Linked DNA regions of Schizosaccharomyces pombe. Changing the gene in region 2 together with the main gene of any one other region gives a genetic interaction. Each region holds a gene or a part of one and is shown on either strand. Other genes may lie near its edges.

Region 1 (5,452 bases), on a different chromosome or scaffold from region 2:
ATATTTTGGTTTAAAAAAGTAAAATTTTTGCATTTTACCATATTTTACTTTAGTTTTAATTTTGTTTTTCATTAAAGACAGTTTATATTGGGTCATTAAGGAAAATTTTTTCCATTCAAGTGAAGACAAATTTTATATTGGTACAAGTTATTCTGTACTTGTCCTTAAACACATCTAATCAAAATAACGCTAAAAAGAAAATTTGAGAGCATGGCGGAAGAAAAAAAGGAAGAATTGTTCACAAGTATTGGCAATGCTGCACAAAATGTGTCAACAGCTGAGGATAGGGAAGGAAATGGTGTTCAAGAAGTCGAATCGTTGTGTATGGAGTGTGGAAAAAACGGTACTACTAAATTATTGTTGACGGTCATTCCATACTTCCGTGAGGTTGTTTTAATGTCGTTTGAATGTCCTCATTGTGGGTTTAAGAATGCGCAAGTTCAACACGCTGAGACAATTCAACCGGAAGGAAGCAAAATTACTTTCCATGTTGAGGATAAGGAAGATTTAAATCGGACAGTTGTAAAGAGCCAGGAGGCTATTGTCAGTATTCCTGAAATTCAGCTAGAAATCCCGGGAAGGTTAGGCCAGTTAACTACCATTGAGGGGATTCTGAGTAATGTGGTGGATGATTTAAGTAAAGAACAAGAATCTCGTAAGGAGTCTGCTCCTCAGTTATATGACCAAATAAATGCTTTCATTGAGAAAGTGAATAGTCTACGTTCTGGATCTGTACCATTTACCATCACAGTTGACGATATTACGGGCAACAGCTGGATCGAGATGAAACCTGGCCGAGATGGTGACCGATGGTCTCAGGTTAGCTACAAGCGTACTTTGGAGCAGAATACGAAGCTGGGTCTTGTGGATACTGATCAACCTGAAGACGTCAAGACACAAACAAACAACGCTTCTAATACACTTAAACATGATGCTACTGCTGTGGAAGTCGATCCCAATGAGGTACATACCTTCCATGCAACTTGTCCCTCTTGTTCACATCAATGTGACACCCACATGAAGTTGCTTGATATTCCCCATTTCAAAGAAGTTATTATCATGTCTACTGTTTGTGATCGTTGTGGATATCGTTCCAACGAAGTAAAAACTGGTGGTGAAATTCCACCCAAAGGTCGAAAAATTACTTTAAAGGTCATGGATGCCGAGGACTTATCCCGTGATATTCTCAAATCTGAAACCGCATCTCTTAAAATTCCTGAACTTGGACTTGATTTGTTCCCAGGTACTTTGGGTGGACGATTCACAACCATTGAAGGTCTTCTAGCTCAAGTTTATGATGAGTTATATGGCCGTGTGTTTTCTCAGGAGACCGATTCTATGACTCCTGAGCAAGTCGCTAACTGGCAACAATTTCTCTGCAACTTGACGGCTGCACGTGAGGGTGCTACTCAATTCACTCTTATTTTAGATGATCCTCTTTCACAAAGTTATCTGCAGAATTATTACGCTCCCGATCCAGATCCAAATATGACTATTGAGGAGTATGAACGTTCATTCCAAGTAAATGAGGAATTGGGTCTGAACGATATGAAGACAGAAAACTATGAAAAGGATGGAGGTAAGAAGTAAAGTTCGAGGTTTTTGTCAAATGTTAGGGAATGTATTTAATATAGTAATACTATGTTTTTTTGGGGGGTTTATTGACTATGAAGATATAATAGTATAGTAGATTAGCTAATTTTTATTTCCCGTAATGTTTTTGTTAGAGACTGATGCTTTATTATTTTACTTTTAGTTTAAAATAGTTACTTGATTTATCGCAAATGTTATGAGGCTAATAATTCGAAGTATTAGTAAACCATAAAATTTGCTACAAGAAATGTTAGATAGTGAAGCTAAAATTATTACCAATAACAAACTTGTAACACATATTTAGCCGATACCAGAAATAATTGATTCATATTTCACAATTTCATTATTTGTATACCATGTTTAGTGAAGGGTAACAATGGTGCGTAATTTAAAGAACGCGACACGCTATAATAGTAATAGAATTTAATTTATATATACATCTAGATATTTCTCAACACATACCATTGGTATAAACAGCACTTTCCTTTTTTTTTTGTTTGAATCCTTATCCCTCTTTTCCTACCCTTTCTTCTATTTCAGTAATCTCTTTTTTAATAATTGCTAATATATTTAATGATTCAGCAACCAACAACTGCTAAACCTAGAATTTCTACTTCTTCAAAGTTAAATACTGTTTTATCAAAAAACAAAGAGAATGTTCCTGGAAAGTTGTTTAAAAAGTTTAAATGCCCTTCTTTAGTGATTTCAGAAAAGCGAAAAGAGCTTCCTTTACGCAAAAAGCCAAGAGTTAACTACAGCGAATATGGTTCTGTTGATGGGAAGTATGATTCAGCTTACGTATCTGAAAATGTGTCTGGGTTGGCAACCATCAAAGAAGCTAATCGATTAATACTAAATCATGAACGACGAGATCCCTCAACAGTCATTAAGAAACAGTTCTCTGTGCCTAAACCTATCAAGGGTCATGAAGATATATCTAAACTGTGTGCACATCGTCCACCTCCTACACTGGGAATGAAAAGGAAGGTGGATTTTATTCCTCGTCCCCTTTACGATCCTGCTGATGAATTTGCTATCGTTTTATATGATCCCACTACTGATGCAGATGAGATCATTCCTGATATAAAAGAGGTCTTAGCGGAAAAACGTAAAAAAGATGAATTGTTAAAAAATCGAAAAGGAAAGAAAGAAATTTCTGATAGTGAGCCTGAAAGTGACCATGATTCATGTGTCTCCACTGACACAGTGGCTAGCTGTTCTACCGAGCAAAGTCTCATAACCTCTAATACCTCAAAGCATAGAAGACCAAATAAAAGTTTGAAAGATCTACTAGGAATTCAGAAAGAAAAACCTCCACCTCCTCCTGTTGCTGTTGTCATTGATCCAAAACTTGCTCGTATTCTAAGACCTCATCAAATAGAAGGTGTCAAATTCTTGTACAAGTGTGTAACTGGAAGGATTGACCGTTGTGCAAATGGATGTATTATGGCAGATGAGATGGGACTTGGTAAGACACTTCAATGTATTGCTTTGTTATGGACCCTTTTAAAACAGTCTCCTCAGGCTGGAAAACCGACAATTGAAAAGGCAATTATAACTTGTCCTTCTTCTTTAGTCAAAAATTGGGCTAATGAACTTGTCAAATGGTTAGGAAAAGATGCTATTACTCCATTCATATTGGACGGTAAAAGCTCCAAACAGGAGTTAATCATGGCTTTGCAACAATGGGCATCCGTACATGGACGACAAGTCACACGTCCAGTGCTTATTGCCAGTTATGAAACCCTTAGAAGTTATGTTGAGCATCTCAACAACGCAGAAATTGGAATGCTTCTTTGTGACGAAGGTCATCGTCTTAAGAATAGTGATTCTTTGACTTTTACGGCATTAGACAAGCTAAACGTTCAAAGGCGTGTCATCCTTTCTGGTACCCCTATTCAAAATGATCTAAGCGAATACTTTTCGTTGTTAAATTTTGCGAATCCTGGGTTGTTAGGTTCAAGGCAAGAGTTCAGAAAAAATTATGAAATTCCAATTTTAAAAGGTCGTGATGCTGACGGAACAGAAAAAGATAAGGAGAATGGTGATGCTAAGTTAGCTGAGTTAGCCAAGATTGTCAATCGGTTTATTATTCGTCGTACGAATGATATTCTCTCCAAATATTTGCCTGTTAAATACGAACATGTTGTCTTTTGCAACCTTTCCGAATTTCAGCTTTCTTTGTACAAGCATTTTATTACCTCGCCTGAAATCAATAAAATCTTAAGGGGGACCGGCAGTCAACCACTAAAAGCTATAGGTCTGCTAAAAAAAATATGTAATCATCCTGATCTATTGAATTTAACTGAGGACTTGGAAGGTTGTGAGGCTCTATTCCCTCCAGGATTTATTCCCCGTGAGCTAAGAGGGCGCGATAGAAACATTGACTCCTCTTTATCAGGTAAAATGTTAGTGTTGGAACGAATGCTCTATCAAATAAAACAAGAGACAGACGATAAAATTGTTTTAATTAGCAATTACACCTCCACGCTTGACTTGTTTGAGCAGCTTTGTAGAGCTCGCGGTTACAAGGCTCTTCGGCTAGATGGTACTATGAATGTAAATAAACGACAACGTTTAGTTGACACATTCAATGACCCGGAAAAGGATGCTTTTGTGTTTTTATTATCTTCTAAAGCAGGTGGTTGTGGTATTAACCTTATTGGCGCTAATCGTCTTATTCTGTTTGATCCCGATTGGAATCCAGCCGCCGATCAACAAGCTTTAGCTCGAGTTTGGCGTGATGGGCAAAAGAAGGACTGCTTTGTTTACCGTTTCATAGCTACTGGAACCATCGAAGAAAAGATATTCCAAAGGCAGTCTCATAAGCAATCTTTGTCTTCTTGTGTTGTGGATGAAGCTCAAGATGTCGAAAGACATTTTTCGCTTGATAACTTAAGGCAGCTGTTTCAGCTTAACGATCACACAGTCTGTGAAACTCATGAAACATATAAATGTAAACGGTGTCGTGATGGAAAACAATTCATCCGAGCCCCAGCCATGTTATACGGTGATACTAGCACATGGAATCATTTTACAAATCCCACATTAGACCGAATAGAAGATCACTTGCTAAAACGTGAGGCAGGAAAACAGCAAGTGAGTACCGTTTTCCAATACAAATCTCATTAATTTTTACGTGTTTAATTACGCTGCTCTCTTCACAAATCCTCATATTTTCATTTAGTTTGATTTGTCTTTAAACTACTCTCACCTCTCTTTATCCCTGTTTGATTTGCTATTCGATGCATAAAACAATATCATGAATTTAATTCCGGTTTTTAAAATATAGTTTTTAATTTAATTAATATCCAACCCTCAATTGTATCCTACCAAACCTCAATTACTCCTTGGTAAGCTTTGTGACAAAATTATTACGAATTTACAGGTATGCTGAAATAAATTTTTTTTTTTAGAATGTTATATTCAATTGTTAAGAGCATATAATTTGTCATATTTTTCTGAAACATTTGAAATTGCATTTGTTAGTATTCGAACCCGTGACAGTTTTAGCACTGCTTTTCTATATTAAGATTGGGATGTCTCGAATTTTTGTTATTAACCATGTAGCTACTTTTAGGCAAACTGCATACATCTTATATGCTTTTTGTCACTCTAATAGCTTATATAAACATTGCTTATGTCTAAATACTTTGGACGTTCAAACTCGTGAATGTTCCAATATAGGTAGAAGCTTACATAACCAATTATTTATTTAAGGGTTGTTTCATTTGCAATCTTATATATTACTTCTAAATATTATATATGCATATTTACTTAACAAAAATAGTAACATTCAATAGTAGTTAGACCCGGATTATAAAGCCAATCGACAAATATCAAGTTTGCTGGCAACGGA
Region 2 (4,885 bases):
GACTAGGCGATAGCATTCGTCATATTGCGCTAGAAGGATACTCGCTCGACACGAGGTAGCTGATGTCATTTGAAAGTCATTAAACGATCGCCATTGGCGGGAACCAGTTGCGCGGAGCATGCGGGAAACCAAGGTGATTACGAAGGATGCTAAAGAGCGTAGGGATTAGGCATCGCTATTTAGTATAAAGTAAATTAATGGGTTTCACTAATACAGACAGTGATCTCGGTAGATTTGAACGTTACGTGTGTGTAAAAATGTAATATCGATCTTTGTGGTAAGCTCGCAATATTTTTTAGTGTATAGCATTCCTTGAAAATTAAGATGGATTAACTATACAAGCAGCAATTGCTTTTGAGGTATACAATCAAAAGGCCATCATCCTACCCATTTTATATGAAAGCAAATGAATAGACTGCTGACGGGGCAACACTTAAAGAGTAAAGAATAAATACAATACGTAGGGCTTGCCTATCAAGTATAGATGGTGTAATCCTTTTTTTCTTTTTCGCTTTTTGTTTTTTAGTACTTTTTCACACCTTTATTGAAACATATCTTTATTTTTTTTGATAATCATACTCTATATTTTGTTGCTTTATTTTTAGTGTCTTTTCTTCTAAGCTCTCTTTAGTAGATAAAATATCACCGATTAAAATGATTACAAAAAGTTGGGCTTTTCATTCTCTATATATACATCTGCTATATACGTATTGAGTTTGCTACCAATTCTTAATAGCCAGCCCTCTATTACCACGAAACATCTGATTCAGAAAGTCAAAATCACTTTCTTCCGTGATTAATTGTTTATCTTGCTGCTTCCGCTAAACTGTTACTTTGCAAACCTGACATTCCATAGTATCGGAAAGTTTCTAAAGCTTTTGTAAACAAGACGGTCGTTCAGCCCAGGCTTATTGCTGACGATGTTAGTTGTATTATTAAATAATTTCTTTGATGAAAAAAGAAAAACTCAAACACCATGGGAAACATTTAGTAGTGTATGAGAAGATTTGTTCTTTCACATAGCTTAATGTTCCAGTATATATTTATTGAGTTGAAAACGAAATAATTTTTAACTTAGATATTGTTTTTTTTTTTTAAATTATTGTTTGGCTTCTTATTTTTTTTATTGCATTTTATTTTATTTTGGGTTACTTTTTTTTTTTTTTAAGTTGAAAATTAAACAAATTAGCCAAAAAAAAAAGAAATCGAATATGCTGAATTGAGCTATAGGGTTGGATCCTATTAATTAGCAAAAATTCCTATAGTTTAAAAAAAAAAAAAAAAAAAAACAACGAAAAAAAAAGAGAAAAAAAGAGAAAAAATATAAAACATATTTCTACTTCACTTTGTACAATCCATATTGTCTAGTCAAGTAGTTGCAAGCCTGTTCTGTATAGCGAATGTCAACTACGCAGTTTATAATATTTAACGATACTTAGGATTGCAGTGAGTTTTCCTCGTGATCAATTATATTGCAATAAACAGGTATTTTAAGTAGCAGCTGGGTATATGTATTCTGTTATGTAGGTCTATTGTTAGTTATCACTAATGTAGCTTATAACCGAACTGAGGAACGAAGTTCAGTTGATTTCAGTTTATAGTATTTGAAAAAGTCTTTAATTGTAACTGATATTTATATTATCATAAAAGGTACTGTAGCTGTCTTTTTAACCTACCATGTAAAGTAGATAGAGCAAATAGAACATTACAACATGTGACATATAGTGATACTCGGACACATTGTAACATAGCTTAGTTTCAGCTGACAAAACAAAAAAAATACATACTACACTATTTATCAGTAAACTAATATTACATAGTAAAAGCATCTCGTTAAATGTTTAAGGAGGTTTAAAAAACACATTAAACCACATACTACTGCGTTTCTCCACAGTATCCACGGAGCGTCCCAGTATATCCGAGTTTTTATTAGAAGAGCGATTTAAGTAGTTGCTTTAAGAAGATACACTCTCCTATCCTAAAAAGGTTTACTCATAATTATTGGTGGGTACCTCTTTAAGTGGTTGAACTTTCTGCTATACGTCGTTTTTTCTATCTGTTGTTAGGTTGGAATCGCGTAAACAAATTAAAAAAAGCAACTTCGAAAATCTATCACTGGGCACTTTTGGACTGGGATTGCTAGTACGTGTACTTGTATTTTTTATTCTTATTTATTTCTTTTTCAGGACCCACATCACAGTACAAAATTAGTCACTTCAAATTAATTTGCTCGTAATATTCCCAGGTATTCATTTACTGTCTTTTTTTTTGGGTATCTTGTTTCATTTTCAACTTCATTCAATCTTCAAAAAAATGGAATTTCCTATCGATGATGAGGAATTGCTAGATGAGCGAAATAAACTTCTCCAAATTTGCAATATGGACGAGCAAACAATGTTCTACAAGTGGGAGTCCTGGTGTTTGCAACGAGGAAATACACCAAAACTCGACCTTGACACATTCAAGGCCTTTGCTAAAGACATGAAATTTCAAATGGAGAGGCAGGTAAAAGCCACACTTAAACAGAATCCTGAAAGAAAATCGATAAAGCAAATCCCGGGAATGAATATTGATAGCATGTGCGTACATTAGCAAATGGTTTTAACTAACAAATATCTAGACTAGGTCTACCAGTGAAGACCACCGCATCAGGCGACTCGTTGATGCAAGAGTCTAAACCATCTACCGAAACTTTCGAATTGAATTCCAGTGACGCTGGAAGGGTTTTGGAAGTTTTAAATAAAGAATTAAAAATTGTAACTTCAAAACCTTCAGCTCCATCCAAGCTGGTTATCGTAGCGAATTTTGATCTCAAGGCATTTAATTACAGGATCATGTATCAAAAGCTTTATGATTCTTCTGAAGTTCTGGATGATCGCATTGAGCTTTTTAGTGCATTAACTTGCAGAAAATACAACATAAGTGATGAAGATTTGGCAAATCCTAGCGAACTTACTCAAGAACCCGTTGTAGTTGTAGGACGAATTGTTGTCGAAAGTACCAATTTAGGTGGAAGACTCAACCAAAATAGCATTTTACTTGAAAGTTCAAGACGTCTAGGCGCTGGTGTTCGAGTTCGTTTGAAGGTGGATGATCTACCAAGTTACTCAATATTTCCTGGTCAAATTGTTTCAGTTAAAGGATCCAATCCTAGCGGTAACATGTTTATCGCCAAGGAAATCCTTCCTATACCTCCTTTGCCGTTCCCAAGTTCATCTAAACAGGAGCACGCTACCTTTGTTGCTAATACAAATAATCAGCCAATTTCTATATATATTGCATCTGGACCTTGGTCTCTCCGTGATGATCTCTCTTTTTCCCCTTTAAAATCAATGATTTCATATGTAAATAAAAATCCTGTTGACTTGGTTATTCTATGTGGTCCATTCTTGGATATTAATCATATACTAATACGTACCGGAAACATTACAGGAACGTCTGCGACTTCTTTGGAAGAGTTGTTTAAAGAGCGTGTCACACCCATATTAAGCCAGCTAACTTGTCCTTGTATTTTAATTCCTCACATCAATGATGCTGCTTCAGATCATCCTGCATGGCCACAGGATGCATTTAATCGGGTGGCCTTAGGTCTTCCATCTGTATGTTAAGTTGTATAATAATTTTTATTGACCAATCCATAGAACTTCAAATGCTTCCCGAATCCTTGCATGTTTTCCATTAATGATGTCGTCTTTGGTGTGTCAACCAACGATATACTCCTTCACACATCTAGAGAAGAGTTATTTCGTCTACCTTCTCATGGTAACTTATTTGCACGTTTGGTTTCTCACGTACTTCACCAAAGGCATTTTTATCCCTTATTCCCTGGAGGTTCTCTTGAAAAGTGCAACCCTTCAAACTTAGATATCGCACATCTTAAACTTGGTGAATTCCTAAATACTATGCCGGACATACTAATTTTACCAAGTGATTTACGTTATTTCGTAAAGGTATGTTAATTTTCTACTTTGTTTTAACTAATGTTATAGAACGTTGAAAACGTTGTATCATTGAATCCTGGTAAAGCGACCAAAGGGATTAATTTGGGCACTTTTGCAAAATTAACTATCGCGCCATTAGAGCTCGGGGATAATGGTTCTTCTAATCATTATTCACATCGTGTATGGCTTCGAACCAAGGCAGAAATTTTAAAACTATGATAATTATACTCTCTTTTTCTGCGGAATTTATTGAAAATATAAAAAATTCAGCGTTAAATATCATTGGTTATCATTATTTATGTAGATGTCTACCATAGACCGTTAGAATTAATTAACTTTTCAGCTTTCATTTTCTATCTATCGCTATTTTGGTTTTCTTCAAATTTTGTTTGCAAAATTACTCATATGTTTATGTTGTTAATTTAACCATTTTCCTCAAATGTCTAAGACAATCTCTGATATATCTCAAATCGCTACTCGCGAACTTTTAGTCGTTGTTTTATAGTTGAATGAGTATTCCTTTTATACTGTAGTATTTGAATGTTCAACATTTTTTCGATTTGGACTCTAGTCTTGGTGTTTCACATCTCAACCTACTTAGTCACTACAGTTGACCTCCAACATACATAGGGGAAGTAGTGCAAATGCCTGTTATTCCTCCAGAAAAGCTTGTGTCCTTACAAAAAAATCAGGAAAATATTCGTAATTTTACATTACTTGCTCATGTAGATCATGGAAAGGTATGAATTTTGCAATTTTAAACTTTTTTGAATAGTTGCTAATGATTAATTAAAGACAACCCTTGCAGACAGTTTACTAGCTTCGAATGGAATCATATCTAGCAAACTTGCTGGTACTGTTCGTTTTCTTGATTTTCGCGAAGATGAAATTACGAGAGGTATTACTATGAAGTCTAGCGCCATTTCATTGTTTTTTAAAGTTAT

Evidence for each region. A genetic interaction does not mean that the proteins touch.
Region 1: of spb70 (region 2) and rad54, a mutation in one rescues a mutant of the other (synthetic rescue), as found in Schizosaccharomyces pombe (one study listed by BioGRID).

What each region holds. Positions count from the first base shown.
Region 1 is NC_003424.3:3,679,860-3,685,311, reverse strand, and holds rad54 (DNA repair protein), read left to right. Parts: upstream 1-2,046; 5' UTR 2,047-2,166; coding exon 2,167-4,725; 3' UTR 4,726-4,952; downstream 4,953-5,452. Other genes in the region: EF-1 alpha-binding zinc finger protein Zpr1, read left to right, coding at 211-1,590. UniProt on the Schizosaccharomyces pombe protein: Plays an essential role in homologous recombination (HR) which is a major pathway for repairing DNA double-strand breaks (DSBs), single-stranded DNA (ssDNA) gaps, and stalled or collapsed replication forks.
Region 2 is NC_003421.2:285,327-290,211, forward strand, and holds spb70 (DNA polymerase alpha B-subunit), read left to right. Parts: upstream 1-1,902; 5' UTR 1,903-2,313; coding exon 2,314-2,579; exon of another isoform or gene 2,580-2,620; coding exon 2,621-3,599; exon of another isoform or gene 3,600-3,641; coding exon 3,642-3,950; exon of another isoform or gene 3,951-3,989; coding exon 3,990-4,160; 3' UTR 4,161-4,378; downstream 4,379-4,885. Other genes in the region: GTPase Ria1, read left to right, coding at 4,586-4,681, 4,737-4,885. UniProt on the Schizosaccharomyces pombe protein: Accessory subunit of the DNA polymerase alpha complex (also known as the alpha DNA polymerase-primase complex) which plays an essential role in the initiation of DNA synthesis.